Mus musculus: one gene and its partners. The protein of the gene in region 2 interacts with the protein of the main gene of each other region in a pairwise test. Links are inferred from orthologs where the notes say so. Each region holds a gene or a part of one and is shown on either strand. Other genes may lie near its edges.

Region 1 (4,948 bases), on a different chromosome or scaffold from region 2:
GGGGCCCTGGGTGACTGAGTACCACGCAGAAAATGTCAGAGCAAGTCACTATCAGCAATGACTGAAGCAATAAGAACTCTCACTTTTTAATGTGTGTCCCGAAATATTTTGTTGCTTATGCTCTGTGCCCATACCAAGGATGGAGAAGCCATATAGAGTTTAAGAGGTTTGTTTTTATGAAGTCATTTTATGGAAATGTTGGCATATTTGAGAGAAAAACACAAGAGGAGCTATGGTTTAGGCTAACCTAGATGACAGTGTTGCTTCAAGTTAAGTACAATGTCTTTGGAATTTGCCAACTTGTATTTGAATGCCTTGAAGCCACCTTGAGCAGGTTACTGACTCCTGGGCTGTTTGGCGTCATCATTCACAAAGTAGAAGAAATATTAAAATGATGTAGCTAAACTCTGCCAACTGCTGAAGGCCTTTTTTATCACCTCTGACTCACAGATAAAGGAAATCTGAACCCAGAGACCTGTAAAAGTACTAGCTACAACACAAATGCATATACTACATACCTACATATACTCCTATATAGCTATGTATTTATTTGTAAGCTACAGTGGACAATCACTGGCTTTTCATTAGCAGTAGTGATCAAGATGGTCTGATTGAAGAAAATTACTATAGAGGAATTAATATGATGTGCAATGCAGCAAGCACTTCACAATAACACAGTACAAACACTGAAAACAAGTGGTAAGAAGTCACGTCGATCACATGTTCTGTTAAAGCAGAAGTTACAAGTAGTGGGGTGGGGGGTAGTTCGTCATAAAGTGGAAAGACAGGCATATTTATGCCACTATCAGTCTTTCCACAGTCTCAGAGCTGACCCACCTGTCTGGTTAACCTTTGAACCCCAATATTGCAATGAGTCTTCCCATCTAAAGAATTCATGCTCCTCAAAAATAGTGGAAGGCAAATTGCCAGTCACCCAAAATGCCTTCCTCAGATTCAATGCTCAGATACAAAAATGCAAGTCCAAATTCTAGTAGGTTTGGTCCTATAGGCTCCATTCTGGGCACAAAGGGACCACGCAAAATCCACAACCACAGGCCAGTGGATGAAGCTATGGGACTCTGGGCTAGTGATTCCCCAAGTGTGAGGTTAACACACAAATAATGCCATGCCTGCCACAGAGTACTGTGCCTCCACACCCACAGGGGCAGCCAAATGTCATTGCTACATCCTAGCATCTAGTGCAATGCCCAGGAAGTGCAGGCACTTCATATGTTTGCTGAGTGAGGCAGAAGATCAATTAAGGCTAGCCTGGGGTCAGCCATGCCCGGATGGTGCATGCCTTCAATCATAGCACTCTTAGGAGGCTGAGGCAGGAAGGGCACTGCTCCAGGCAAGCATAGGGAAACCCTGTTTCAATGAAGAGGAGGTGGAGAGAGGGGAAAGGGGTGGGAGAGGGAAAGGAGAGAGGAAGGGAGAGCAGAAGGAGAGGAAGAGAGAGAGAAGAAACCAATCAAGCAAGCATAAGGGTCAACCAAAATTTCCAGACCCAGCTTCTATGTGGGTTCCAAACTTTCCTCAAACTAGAGGTAACTTGTCCCCTGAAACAAGGCAGGCCCTGATCTTTGGCCCTGGAAAGCCTTCTGATAGCTGCCCTGAGCTTTTATTTCACCCAGGAAAGACTGGCACTTGCTGCCCTGACATTCCATCCCCTCACTCTTCAGTTTTAAAAGCAACAGGCTTACTAAGCGACATCTTGGCACTTAGGTCTTTCTCGAATGAAGCCTGGGGACCATTCAAACAGCTAGAATCCTACTCTGTTGAAGCAACCATTCTTAGCTGAATGATACCATCTATTAGGAAACCCATCACAGAGACAGGAAGAGTAAAGAGTCAAAGACAATTCCACTATCTGCCTTCCCTTCCTGAGTATCAAAATGGAAAAAAAAAATGGCTTGAACTATTTTTAAATGAACCCAATGAAAAAAGGTACCCTTCTTGCCCTGCAAGGTGCTCAATCTTAGAATGTTCTAATTTGGCCACAAGGGAAAACTCTGGGCTTCCTCTTCAAAAGTTAGGCGGCATGCACATTTTAACACACACATACACCTTGTACCGAGAAGGGGGCAGGGCAGCAAAAAATGGCTCCACAGCAGCTCAGGGAACCTTTTAAATGAGCTTAAAACTTCTCTTTTTCTGAGCAAGGGCTGAGGATTCCCTCTCAGCCTTTTGAATTTTAAAAGATGTGAGGGAGAGGACGGGTATGGAGCAAGGGAGCGGGAGACGGAGAAAGACGGATGTGTTCGGTCTATTTTTAAACCTTCGCCTACAGTTTAGAGTAAAGGAACACTCTGGTCCTATACTCCCACCCCTGTCACCTTCTGCTAAGCACAAGAATCAAAACCTGCACACGTACACCGCACTGATCTATGTCTAGGGATTAATGTCAGTGCTCCCAGGAATGCAGCTAACCAATCACCCCAACGCAGAGAACCCGGTAGTCAGGACTAGGCGAGAGCTGCGTGCAGGGCTCCTGCAGGGCTCGAAGCAGTCACCACCCTCCTCTTCCCAGGGATGGGCAGCGCCCCCTCCGCACGCTCCATTCCCAAGGCTGGGCACCGAGGTGAGCAACTCGCCCCCCTTAAGGATACCAAGCCATGGGAAGCGTGGAAGTGGTTTTCCCCAACAGGCTGCGGCAGGCTCACTCCAGAAACACCTGTGTCGCACACACCCACCCAATCCAGAGTACCACCCTGATGGCCACCTTCCGGCCGTCCCCGAATGCCGAGGGCTGAGCGACCAGATTCCTACGAGGCAACTGACTCGCTCTTTTTACATATCCTTCTTGCCTCGCAGGAGCATAGACACCGGTCACTCTGCGCCCGAGGAGGGATGAAAGCCGGTAGCGCGCGGGCGACCGGGAGCGGAGCGCCGCCGCCGGGTGCCCTCCTGCGCTGCTCCGGACACTCACTCTTGAGCGCGCTGATGAGCGACTTCCCGTCCTTGATGAGCTCCTTGATGAATTTGTTGGTCTTGTCCAGCTCCGCTTCGTGTGACTTGAGCGTCTCTCGGAAGTGAGGGCTGTCGAGGCAGCAGTCGCTGAACTCGAGCGCCGGGAGCCCCATTTCTGCCCGCGGAGCCAGCCGGGCTGAGGGGACGCGCCTCGCACGCTGGTCGGCGGACACCCGCGACGACGGCCGATCCACAGGTGTGGGTGGCGCCGGCTACCCCGCGCGCGGGGTCAGCGGGAGCAGGAGACTCAGGACCGCAGCGGGGACCCGGACGGACGGCGGCTGCTCCTGCGGAGAGCCACCGAACTGCACACCGGCAGAAAGCGCGGCGGCGGACCCTTGGCGGAGCCTGGAAGCGAACCAGCCGGGCCACCGCCTCCCCGCCTCCTCTGCGGGCTTGCTCCTCAGCAGCCTCAAGCAGCCTCGAGCGCCCTCTCACAGAAGCCTCAGCCGCCCCTCCGGCGTCCGGGCCGCCCGAACCTGCTAGCGATGACCTAATCCCCTGCAGGGCCAATCAATAAGCTTGCCTCGGCCCGACCCACGGGGCCGCCAGGGGACGCCCTGCCCTTCCGCGACTCTAACCCAATCAGATATTTCTGAAGGCGGAGCCTGGGGAGAGGGGCGGAGTCCGTGCCACCCCCTGGGTCCGCAGAGCAAGCCCCGCCCCCTCCTGCTCAGCGAAGGTTGCAGAGCTAGGAGAGAGAGCCTGGTGCTGCATTCTGTAGTGGGTGCGCCCCCCTGCCACCCTGAACCCGGCCCGCCTCGTGTGACTCTAATCCGAGCCTGAAATGAGACGTCTGCTGATCTAGGGAACCGAAGAGCCTAGGTGTGCGGAGCAGAAAAAATCCAGAATGAGAACTGCCTTTCGCCGCAGCCCACCGGACACCTCTGAGCCTTTGAGCTTGCACTCAAAATACAGCCCCTTGCCCAGAAGAACACTGAGCGCTCGGAGCTCGCAATCCCTTGCTTCCAGTCAAGCAGAACGTATTTGCTTCTTTGAAATCACTAACTCCCCTTCCCTGCAGTCCTCTCCCCCCCTACTGTCCGTCCCACTAGTGGCCACTCCTGCTCAAAACCCGCCCACGGCTGCAACCCACAGAAGGTTCTCACGTCCTTAGCAAGAATTCAGCCTTTCCTACTGGATTCTTAACACCGTTTTTACACAATTCTGTCCAATGTCTGCTACTCTTCGCTGCTGCCCAGCTCCACGAGGGCACGTGCCTCCGCAGTTCTCTGGTGGGGTGTTGCAATCCTATCCACTAGAACAGCGACTAGTGTTTAAGAACAGATAATATGCGCTGTCTAACATGTGTGTAGAAAACTATGCATCATTCTCCGACTTCCAGAGTGACCATCATCCCTCTGATCAATCACAGGAGTCAAGGTTAACCGCTCCCTCAGAGCATTTGGTAGGTTGGTTCCCAGTGTCTAGAACTGAATGATGAACTCCTAGAGAACAGAGACTGCCCTTGGCTAAATTATTTCTATACTAATTAACAACACACCTTTGGGGGTGGAGGACATGGGGAAGGTGCTTCTTTGTGTTTTCAATTGGTCTGCTATTATAAACACAGCACTAGACTCGGGATGGAACCACAAACCCAGAAAGACCTTGAAACTTGACTGCTTCTGTTCTGGAGAGGAGCATCAACCAAGGAATAGCTTTGCTGTCTGATGGAAGGATCCTTGGGAACAATGAAAACGAGTTTCAGACTCCAAAGTGTCAGAAAAAGGAGTCCTTGCATGGGAAATTAATTGATGTACTTATCGAATGAATGAATGTGGTCGATTTCTTAATTTGTATCTACAAAGCCAGGCTTGGGAGCAGGCAGAGACAGCAGATAGATGATAGCTAATTAAATCCTGGAAACAGTCATTCCCGCCCTTGCTATGGAGAAGAAAAAAAAATCTGGAATGGAAATTCCATGAACGTAAATCTGTTTATTAGGCTTATCTTGAGTAACTAAAGGTAGGCACTC
Region 2 (3,129 bases):
ATCTCGCTTTTTGTCAGAAAACACAAAAGTCTTATCACAAATACAGAATTTCTGCCCATTCATGTGGCCATTCCCTTATCAGCTCATCTCAATCTTTTGCAATATAAAAACTATGGTATAGCATTAATTGAAGGGCAAACATGTAGTTCAGTTGGTAGAGAGCCAACCTAGCATACAAGAAGTTCTGAGTTCATGCCGGGCGTGGTGGCACACACCTTTAATCCCAGCACTTGGGAGGCAGAGGCAGGCGGATTTCTGAGTTCGAGGCCAACCTGGTCTACAAAGTGAGTTCCAGGACAGCCAGGGCTACACACAGAAACCCTGTCTCGAAAAACCAAAAAAAAAAAAAAAAAAAAAGAAGAAGTTGTGAGTTCAATGCGCAGCACCACATAAGCTGAGCCCAGCCCCTTTGTAAGAACAGCCAGCATTCGTATCCAGTGGGCCATCTCTCCAGCTCCTGCCAGCCCCTACCTGCCAGACACCTAAATCAATGGCCAATCTCCACCCCTGATACTTGGTTTGGATGGTAGTCTTGGTGGTCAACTTAATGAGATCAGACTCACTGTGGAGATTCTGAAGGTGTCTGTGAAGGACTTTCTAAATGTAGTTAATGGCGGTGGAAAGACCACCTGACTGTGGGCTGTACCATCCCACGGGCTGAAGTCCCAGACTAAATAAAAGAAAGTAATGGAAACACCCACAGATATCACTTTTGGCTTCCTGACTGTGGCTGCCTCAAGCCCCTGCTCCCGTGACTCCTCAGCCTAGTGGACTGGGCTGCACCCAGGCACCAGGATAAAGCTGTTCCTGAAGCTGTTTTCATCAGGTATTGTCACAGCTCCAACGTAACCAGTGCAGATTATTCTATGTCCTTCTCACTGTGGGTGCAGACTGAAGTACCACATCCAGGAGGGAAGGCACAACCTCTGCGGAACCTTCTAGGGTGGGCTTTTCCCACATGAGCCCACTGTTCATGGAGACTGGCCGACCTTCAGAGGGATACCCCTGGGACAAGGGGACAGGATGCTCAGCCACCAGCAGCAACATGTTTTATTGCGACCAGAATTCCCTGGTCATGTGAGGAAGGGTTGGGACAGGACACAAGGCGGGAGATGTCACGATTTCTGGACTCCCAGACCCAAACACAAAGACCAGTGGGGAGCATAGCCAACGATACCAACAAAGGAGGGGCTCCATTTTAGCAGAGTCTTCCCCACAGGGACCCGAGGGAAAGGGGGCAATTGGCAGTGAGGGCAAATGACCAAAGAGATTCAGGAGTCTCTAAGGCAACTTCTGCATGGCTCCTCTGTGGATGTTGTTAGATGAAAACAAAGATACACTCTGTCCATTAGGAGAAGGGAAAACAAAGGCTCAAAATGGCAGTCACTAGCCAGCACCCATAGGTGTGACCTGGGATCCTGACTCCTAGGTCAGGGCCAATGCCCATAGATGTCTCCAGGCATCAGCACAGCCTGGGCGACCTGCCTGGCCAGCCGAGGGTTTTATGTAGGAATCTGCACGCGGCCTAGGTCGTGATCCATAATCTGGAGGACATCATCCAGGATCGAAGGCCCCAGGTCCACATGCAGGGACAGCAGGGAGCTGGCATGGGACAGGAAGGGCTCCTCGGCCTCCGGCTCAGGGCTCATCCCATTGTGGGGCGAGCCAGCCTCTGGAATCCTCCAGACGTCCACATTTCCTGCCCCCTGTGGGGAAGGCTGTGGAGAAGGCTGTGGAGATTCAAGGTGCAAGCGAGGAGGCTTAGGTGGAGCCTGGGCTGTAGGCAGAGTGAGGGCCTGGGGGCCACCAATTACAGGGAGGGAGATGGCGTTTTTGAGCAGAGGTGACAGCCCATCAGGGAGCTCTCGCCCACACACGGTTGTAGTGCGAGTAAACTGGAAGGGAAGGTCAAAGCTGCCATCCTCCTCAGCCTCTTCCACCGCTGTTCCTGGAAGGAGATGGAACTTGCCCTGCAGGAAGGAGATGTCCCCAAACATGTCATCTCCGCCACCGCTGCCAATGTGAATAGTGTGACGGAAGTCCCCAAGTGGTGGGCTGATCATGTCTGAGGACAGCAGGTCCCGAAGCTTCTCTTTCTTGCCTTTGCGGCTGCCACGTTTCAAATAGATGGGGACCTTGGTGGACATGGTGACTTCAGCACACAGTCCTGGCCGCTCAGTCCTCAGTACTCTCTCAACACCCTCTGCCCAAAACAGGCTCCAGAGGGCCAATGTCCACTCTTGCCAAAAACAAAACAAAAGTAGAGGGTGAGATGTGATCAAAGTTGGCCCAAGGTGTCAGGTAAAGTTAGATTAAAGGCCAACAAAGACAGGGTGGTGAATACACCCTCCTCTCTTCTAGATGGATGCAAGTCCCTTTGGAGAGCTGGAGGCAGAAAGGTGAGGTCTCCTCAACAGCAGTGGGGTTTGCTCTTGTTCCAAGATTCTTAGTCCAGAGTTGAGAAGCTGAAATGAAGGAACCCATAAATCAGGAACACAACAGACAAAGCAAGTTGAAGTGAGGTGATACCAATAATCCCCGCACTCAGGAGGCACAGACAGGAAGATCAGGACTTCAAGGCTAGCCTAGGCTACATGAGACCCTGCCTCAAAACAATACACAACAAGAAGAGCTGGGGTGTAACCTCAGTTACAGTGATTGCCTAATGTGCACGAAGCCCAAGCTTAGCCCCAGCATTACATAAATGCATGCACGGTGGCACAAGCCAGTATTCTCAGCACTCGCAAGGTAGAGGCAAGGAGATAAGAGTACCAGGCCATCCTTGACTACATACCAACTTCTGGCTGTGAAGCCACAGGTATAGAAGGATGAAGGGATGGAGAACTCAGTGAGTGGGGCAGGGGCAGGTGAGACGGCTCGGTGGGTGAGAGCACCTGCTGGTAAAGCCTGGAGACCAGAGTCTGAGCTGCAGAACCACAGTAGGAGAGAACTGCGGCCCAGGAGTCCTTCTCGGACCTCCTCATGCAGGCTGCGACATGTGCCCACACTCACAAACGCACAATAATAATAAAAATAACTTTAAAAAGTCAAGTCCCAACCGGGCGGTGGTGGCGCACGCCTTTAATCCCAGCACTCGGGAGGCAGAGGCAGGCGGATTTCTAAGTTCGA
Region 3 (4,248 bases), on a different chromosome or scaffold from region 2:
CTTAAGGCCCCAACGATGTGACCACACATTTTTCAAGCTCCAGCTTCCCTCTGCTTGTAAAATTCACAGGTGTCCACGTGTCCCCCAGGGCACCCAGCATCTTCCTGATCTATTTTTTCGTGAAATATTTATTGAGGACCTGCCTCACTCAAGGTGCTGGGGACATGGACAGAATAAAAGAAAGGAAAGAAAGGTCCCTGTTACTGCCTTTTTTTTTTTTTTTTTCCTGAGACAGGGTTTCTTTGTGTAGCCCTGGCTGTCCTGGAACTCACTTTGTAGACCAGGCTGGCCTCAAACTCAGAAATCTGCCTTCCTCTGCCTCCCGAGTGCTGGGATTAAAGGCGCGCGCCACCATGCCCAGCCACTCTCTTATTTAATTTTCTCCTTACTCAATTCTACTTCCTGAGGAGAACTACCTGTGTGGGTTCTTCTAGGTCTTTCCAGTCCATGTGTTCATCTGCATACAAGAACATACATACACACACACACACACACACACACACACCAAGGTTTAATCCTTCATTAAAGGATTCTGTCTTCCTTTTTAGAACAACCACATAGAAACATTTCTTATCCCTGTGTGAATTAAGCTCACCATGATGACAGGGACAAAAGATGATTTTTCTGGGACAAAGTTTGGGGGTTGGGGTAGGAATGAATCAGCAGAGAAAAGCACATGCCACCCTGCCTGTCCCTGGGACCTGCGCATGAAGGAAGGAGAGAACCAACACCTGAGAGTGTCTTCCGGTTTGCGCAAATGTGCAGTGACCCAGGCATGCTCAGGTCCCAAATAAGTAAATGGAGGGGAAAAAAAAATCTTTCAAAATGTCTGTACCCAACACTCTCCCCTGCAAACACTTGGGGACCTGTGGGTTTTCCCTAGCACCAATGTGGTCACTTCCAACCCCCTTCTGATCTCTATTTGACCCTCTTGCATGTTTCTGTAACAATTCTAGAAGTTAATTGTCTGGGGGAGGCAGATGCGAGTCTTGAACGTTATGAGTGATGCCCTGGCCTTAACATGGTGTGAATTAAGCCATCCCTTGTTCCCCTTGTCTCCAGCGCTCTCTGTGACGTGGGGTCCTGTGAATAGCCAACAAACTCCTGCACACACCTTCAACTGATGGCACAGGTTGGTCAGTCTTGGTGAGCCGGGCAGTCACGGGGATGCTAAGCGTGTGCATGAAGTGGGGCTGGGTCTTGGGCATGCTCAGTAGGGCTCTGAGGTCCTGCTTTGCACATTTAATCTGATGCAATGGTGATGACTGCAGTGTAGTGAAGCCCCTGGGTATCCCAGTACCCTTTACCCATGCTTTCATCCGGAGACAACACTCACCTGCTTGGGGAAGCTCAGCGTCTTTTCACAGATGATCCTGGCACTGGAAGGTGACTCAGGCAATTCGTAGACTTGGGCAGTCGCTGGTGACGGCCCCTCCACCCAGCTCCTCATTGGTTCATACACAGGTCCCTGGGGTGGCGGGGAGATCAAGTCCTGCACCTGGTAAGGCGCCCCGGAGCTGGTGAGATCTGTGTCTGGGCCTCTCGGGAGCAGGGGACAGGGTCTGTCTGCAGGGGTCTCTCTGAGGACTTGGAGGCGGTTGGCTGGAGCCAGGCCTTGCCTCCCGTGGAGCAGACACCTCCACCAGCCCTCGCTTTCTGGCACATTTTGTTCCACGATGGTCAGGATGTCCCCTCTGGAGAAAGCAAGCTCGTCGGAGCAATCAGCATGGTTGTCGTAGAGTGCCCTGGCCAACAGGGTCTGGAGGAGAGAACGCGCTGTTAGAGTCCTTGGCCGAGGCTGTCCTATTATTGCCCATGGCTGCACCAGGCCACCAAGAAACTGCAGCACAAGTCTCCAAGCTGTGTTCTCACCCTCCCCAGAGGCTCTGACCCTGCTCTTTTCCTGGCTGAGACTTCCCATCCTCAGGGTTTCTGGTGATGCCACATCCTCTGGGGTGCTTTGCCTGCAACCCCAAACCCAAGCTGAGTGGCCCTAATAAGCCCTTTCTTAAATTCTCAGACAGTATGACCCTCGTGGTTACACGCAGGTGTGTTTTATGACACACATTTCAGCCAAAGTCCTGTTTATTAAAGGGGCTATGCTCCTTGGAGTTTCGTGCTTGCCTGCTGCATGATGTCACATGCTGTGTCCTGTGTATACCACCTTTAGATTGAAATTCTTAGCTGTGTACCCTTGAGTACATTATCTACCCTGTCTGAGCCCATTTCCTTATGGATGAAATGAGAAGAGTAGTGTTACCTATTATTACTAGAATTACCTATTATTAAATTACCTATTTATTATTTATTATTAATGTGCTTTGCAAACACATGTATTATATACACGCACATGAAATAAATACATTTTGTTTATCTATTACTCTGTCTCTAGCATCTGCCTCGGGCACGGGCATACAGGAGAAGCTTAAGGGATGTCTCTTAGCTAGTGGCTCACACCTGCAGTTCTAGCACTCGGAAAGCTGAGGCAGGAGGATTGAGAGTTCAAGATCTGTCTGGACCACTTAGTGAGCCCTGTCTAAAAAATAGCAATAAGTGGTAGAGTGTGTGCCTCGCCTGTGGTAGGCACATACTGAGTACTGCTGTGGGAGGGGACAAGGTGACAGCACCGTGACAAAGTTTGCATCCGTCTTCACTGTCCCTTCCCTGAAGAGCATGTCTGGGACATGCTTTTTTAGTGTGTTTGCCAAAAATACTTTAAATTTTAGCTTTACAAAAACATTTTGCACGCGCATGCGTGCGTGTGTGTGTGTGTGTGTGTGTGTGTGCGTGTGTGTGTGTGTGTGAAGTGTCTAAGGGTCATCCAAGAGGCAGGGACAGGTGTTAGCTGTCCAATGGGTGCTAGGAACCAAATTCAGGTCCTCTGAAAGAGCAGCCGGCCCACCTAGTTGCTGAGTCATATCTGTTCCCTTTTGAAGCATCTTTTTTTTTTTTAATTAGGTATTTTCTTCATTTAGATTTCAAATGCTATCCCAAAAGTCCCCATATCCCCCCCACACTCCCCTATCCACCCACTCCCACTTCTTGGCCCTGGCATTCCCCTGTACTGAGGCAGATAAAGTTTGCAAGACCAAGGGGCCTCTCCTCCCAATGATGGCCGACTAGGCCATCTTCTGCTACATATGCAGCTAGAGATACGAGCTCTGGAGGTACTGGTTAGTTCATATTGTTGTTCCACCTATAGGGTTGCAGACCCCTTCAGCTCCTTGGATACTTTCTCTAGCTCCTCCATTGGGGGCCCTGTGTTCCATCCAATAGCTGACTGTGAGCATCCACTTCTGTGTTTGCCAGGCACCAGCATAGCCTCCCAAGAGACAGCTATATCAGGGTTCTTTCAGCAAAATCTTGCTGGCGTATGCAATGGTGTTAGCGTTTGGAAGCTGATTATGGGATGGATCCCGGGGTGTGGCAGTCTCTAGATGGTCCATCCTTTCGTCTCAGCTCCAAACTTTGTCTCTGTAACTCCTTCTATGGGTGTTTTGTTCCCTCTTAACCTATTCTTGGAAATACTTAGACTGTCCAAACTGCCCTGTGAGTGGGTGGGTGGCTTCTATTCATCTTGGGAAGTGGGTCACCTCCCTGCCCACCCTACCTGTCTGGAAGAGTTTATTGGTCCAGACAGGTGATGAGTCCTGCAGAGTCACAGCATGGCTGCAGAGATTTCCCCTGGCCCCCATGGTGAACCACAAACACAGGGACTTTCCTATTGAGAACTGGCACTCCTGCAGCTCCGACTACCCTTTCCATATGTTAACACATCTTCCTCCAGATGGTCAGCAAACATTTACCTAATGCTGCTGTCACGTGGCACTGACCCTGCCCCCTCCCCGCCCCCAACCATCCTTCAGTGCCTAGGCACTCTTGGGGTCCAGAAGCTTCCAGGCCCTCTGTGGTTTTCTATCTCCCATACTTCCCCACCAGCCTTCCATGGTCTCTCTGGCTGAGGATTTCGGTCCTGCCCACGCTCTCCCCTCCACCCCCAAACACACCAGCAGCTTTTCACCCATTGAAATTCCACGCTTCTAGACTCTTCATGAATGCCACTTCCTGAGAAAAAGTGTTCTTTGATGCCACCCTGCAAACCAAACTGGTTCTTCTAGCCTGTTTAGGATCTTCCCATGTCTGTCTCTAACTCACAGAGGACAACCATCCCTCTGACTGTCTCCCACGAGAGCAGGGTTCACACCCTCCTCCCTCTCAGCTGTGTCCCCCGGGGCCCACATTAGCCCT

What was found.
Region 1: the proteins of Cdc42ep2 (region 2) and Arhgap26 interact in binary tests that used the Homo sapiens proteins (3 or more experiments, as listed by UniProt). The two-hybrid records come from large-scale screens. The link is inferred for Mus musculus from reciprocal best matches to the Homo sapiens genes CDC42EP2 and ARHGAP26.
Region 3: the proteins of Cdc42ep2 (region 2) and Cass4 interact in binary tests that used the Homo sapiens proteins (3 or more experiments, as listed by UniProt). The link is inferred for Mus musculus from reciprocal best matches to the Homo sapiens genes CDC42EP2 and CASS4.

Annotation. Positions count from the first base shown.
Region 1 is NC_000084.6:38,991,611-38,996,558, reverse strand, and holds the start of Arhgap26 (rho GTPase-activating protein 26), read right to left. Parts: upstream 3,407-4,948; 5' UTR 3,084-3,406; coding exon 2,930-3,083; intron 404-2,929; exon of another isoform or gene 1-403. UniProt on the Homo sapiens protein: GTPase-activating protein for RHOA and CDC42. Facilitates mitochondrial quality control by promoting Parkin-mediated recruitment of autophagosomes to damaged mitochondria.
Region 2 is NC_000085.6:5,916,529-5,919,657, forward strand, and holds the end of Cdc42ep2 (cdc42 effector protein 2), read right to left. Parts: intron 2,466-3,129; 5' UTR 2,148-2,465; coding exon 1,503-2,147; 3' UTR 1,028-1,502; downstream 1-1,027. UniProt on the Homo sapiens protein: Probably involved in the organization of the actin cytoskeleton. May act downstream of CDC42 to induce actin filament assembly leading to cell shape changes. Induces pseudopodia formation in fibroblasts in a CDC42-dependent manner.
Region 3 is NC_000068.7:172,413,631-172,417,878, reverse strand, and holds part of Cass4 (cas scaffolding protein family member 4), read right to left. Parts: intron 1,760-4,248; coding exon 1,337-1,759; intron 1-1,336. UniProt on the Homo sapiens protein: Docking protein that plays a role in tyrosine kinase-based signaling related to cell adhesion and cell spreading. Regulates PTK2/FAK1 activity, focal adhesion integrity, and cell spreading.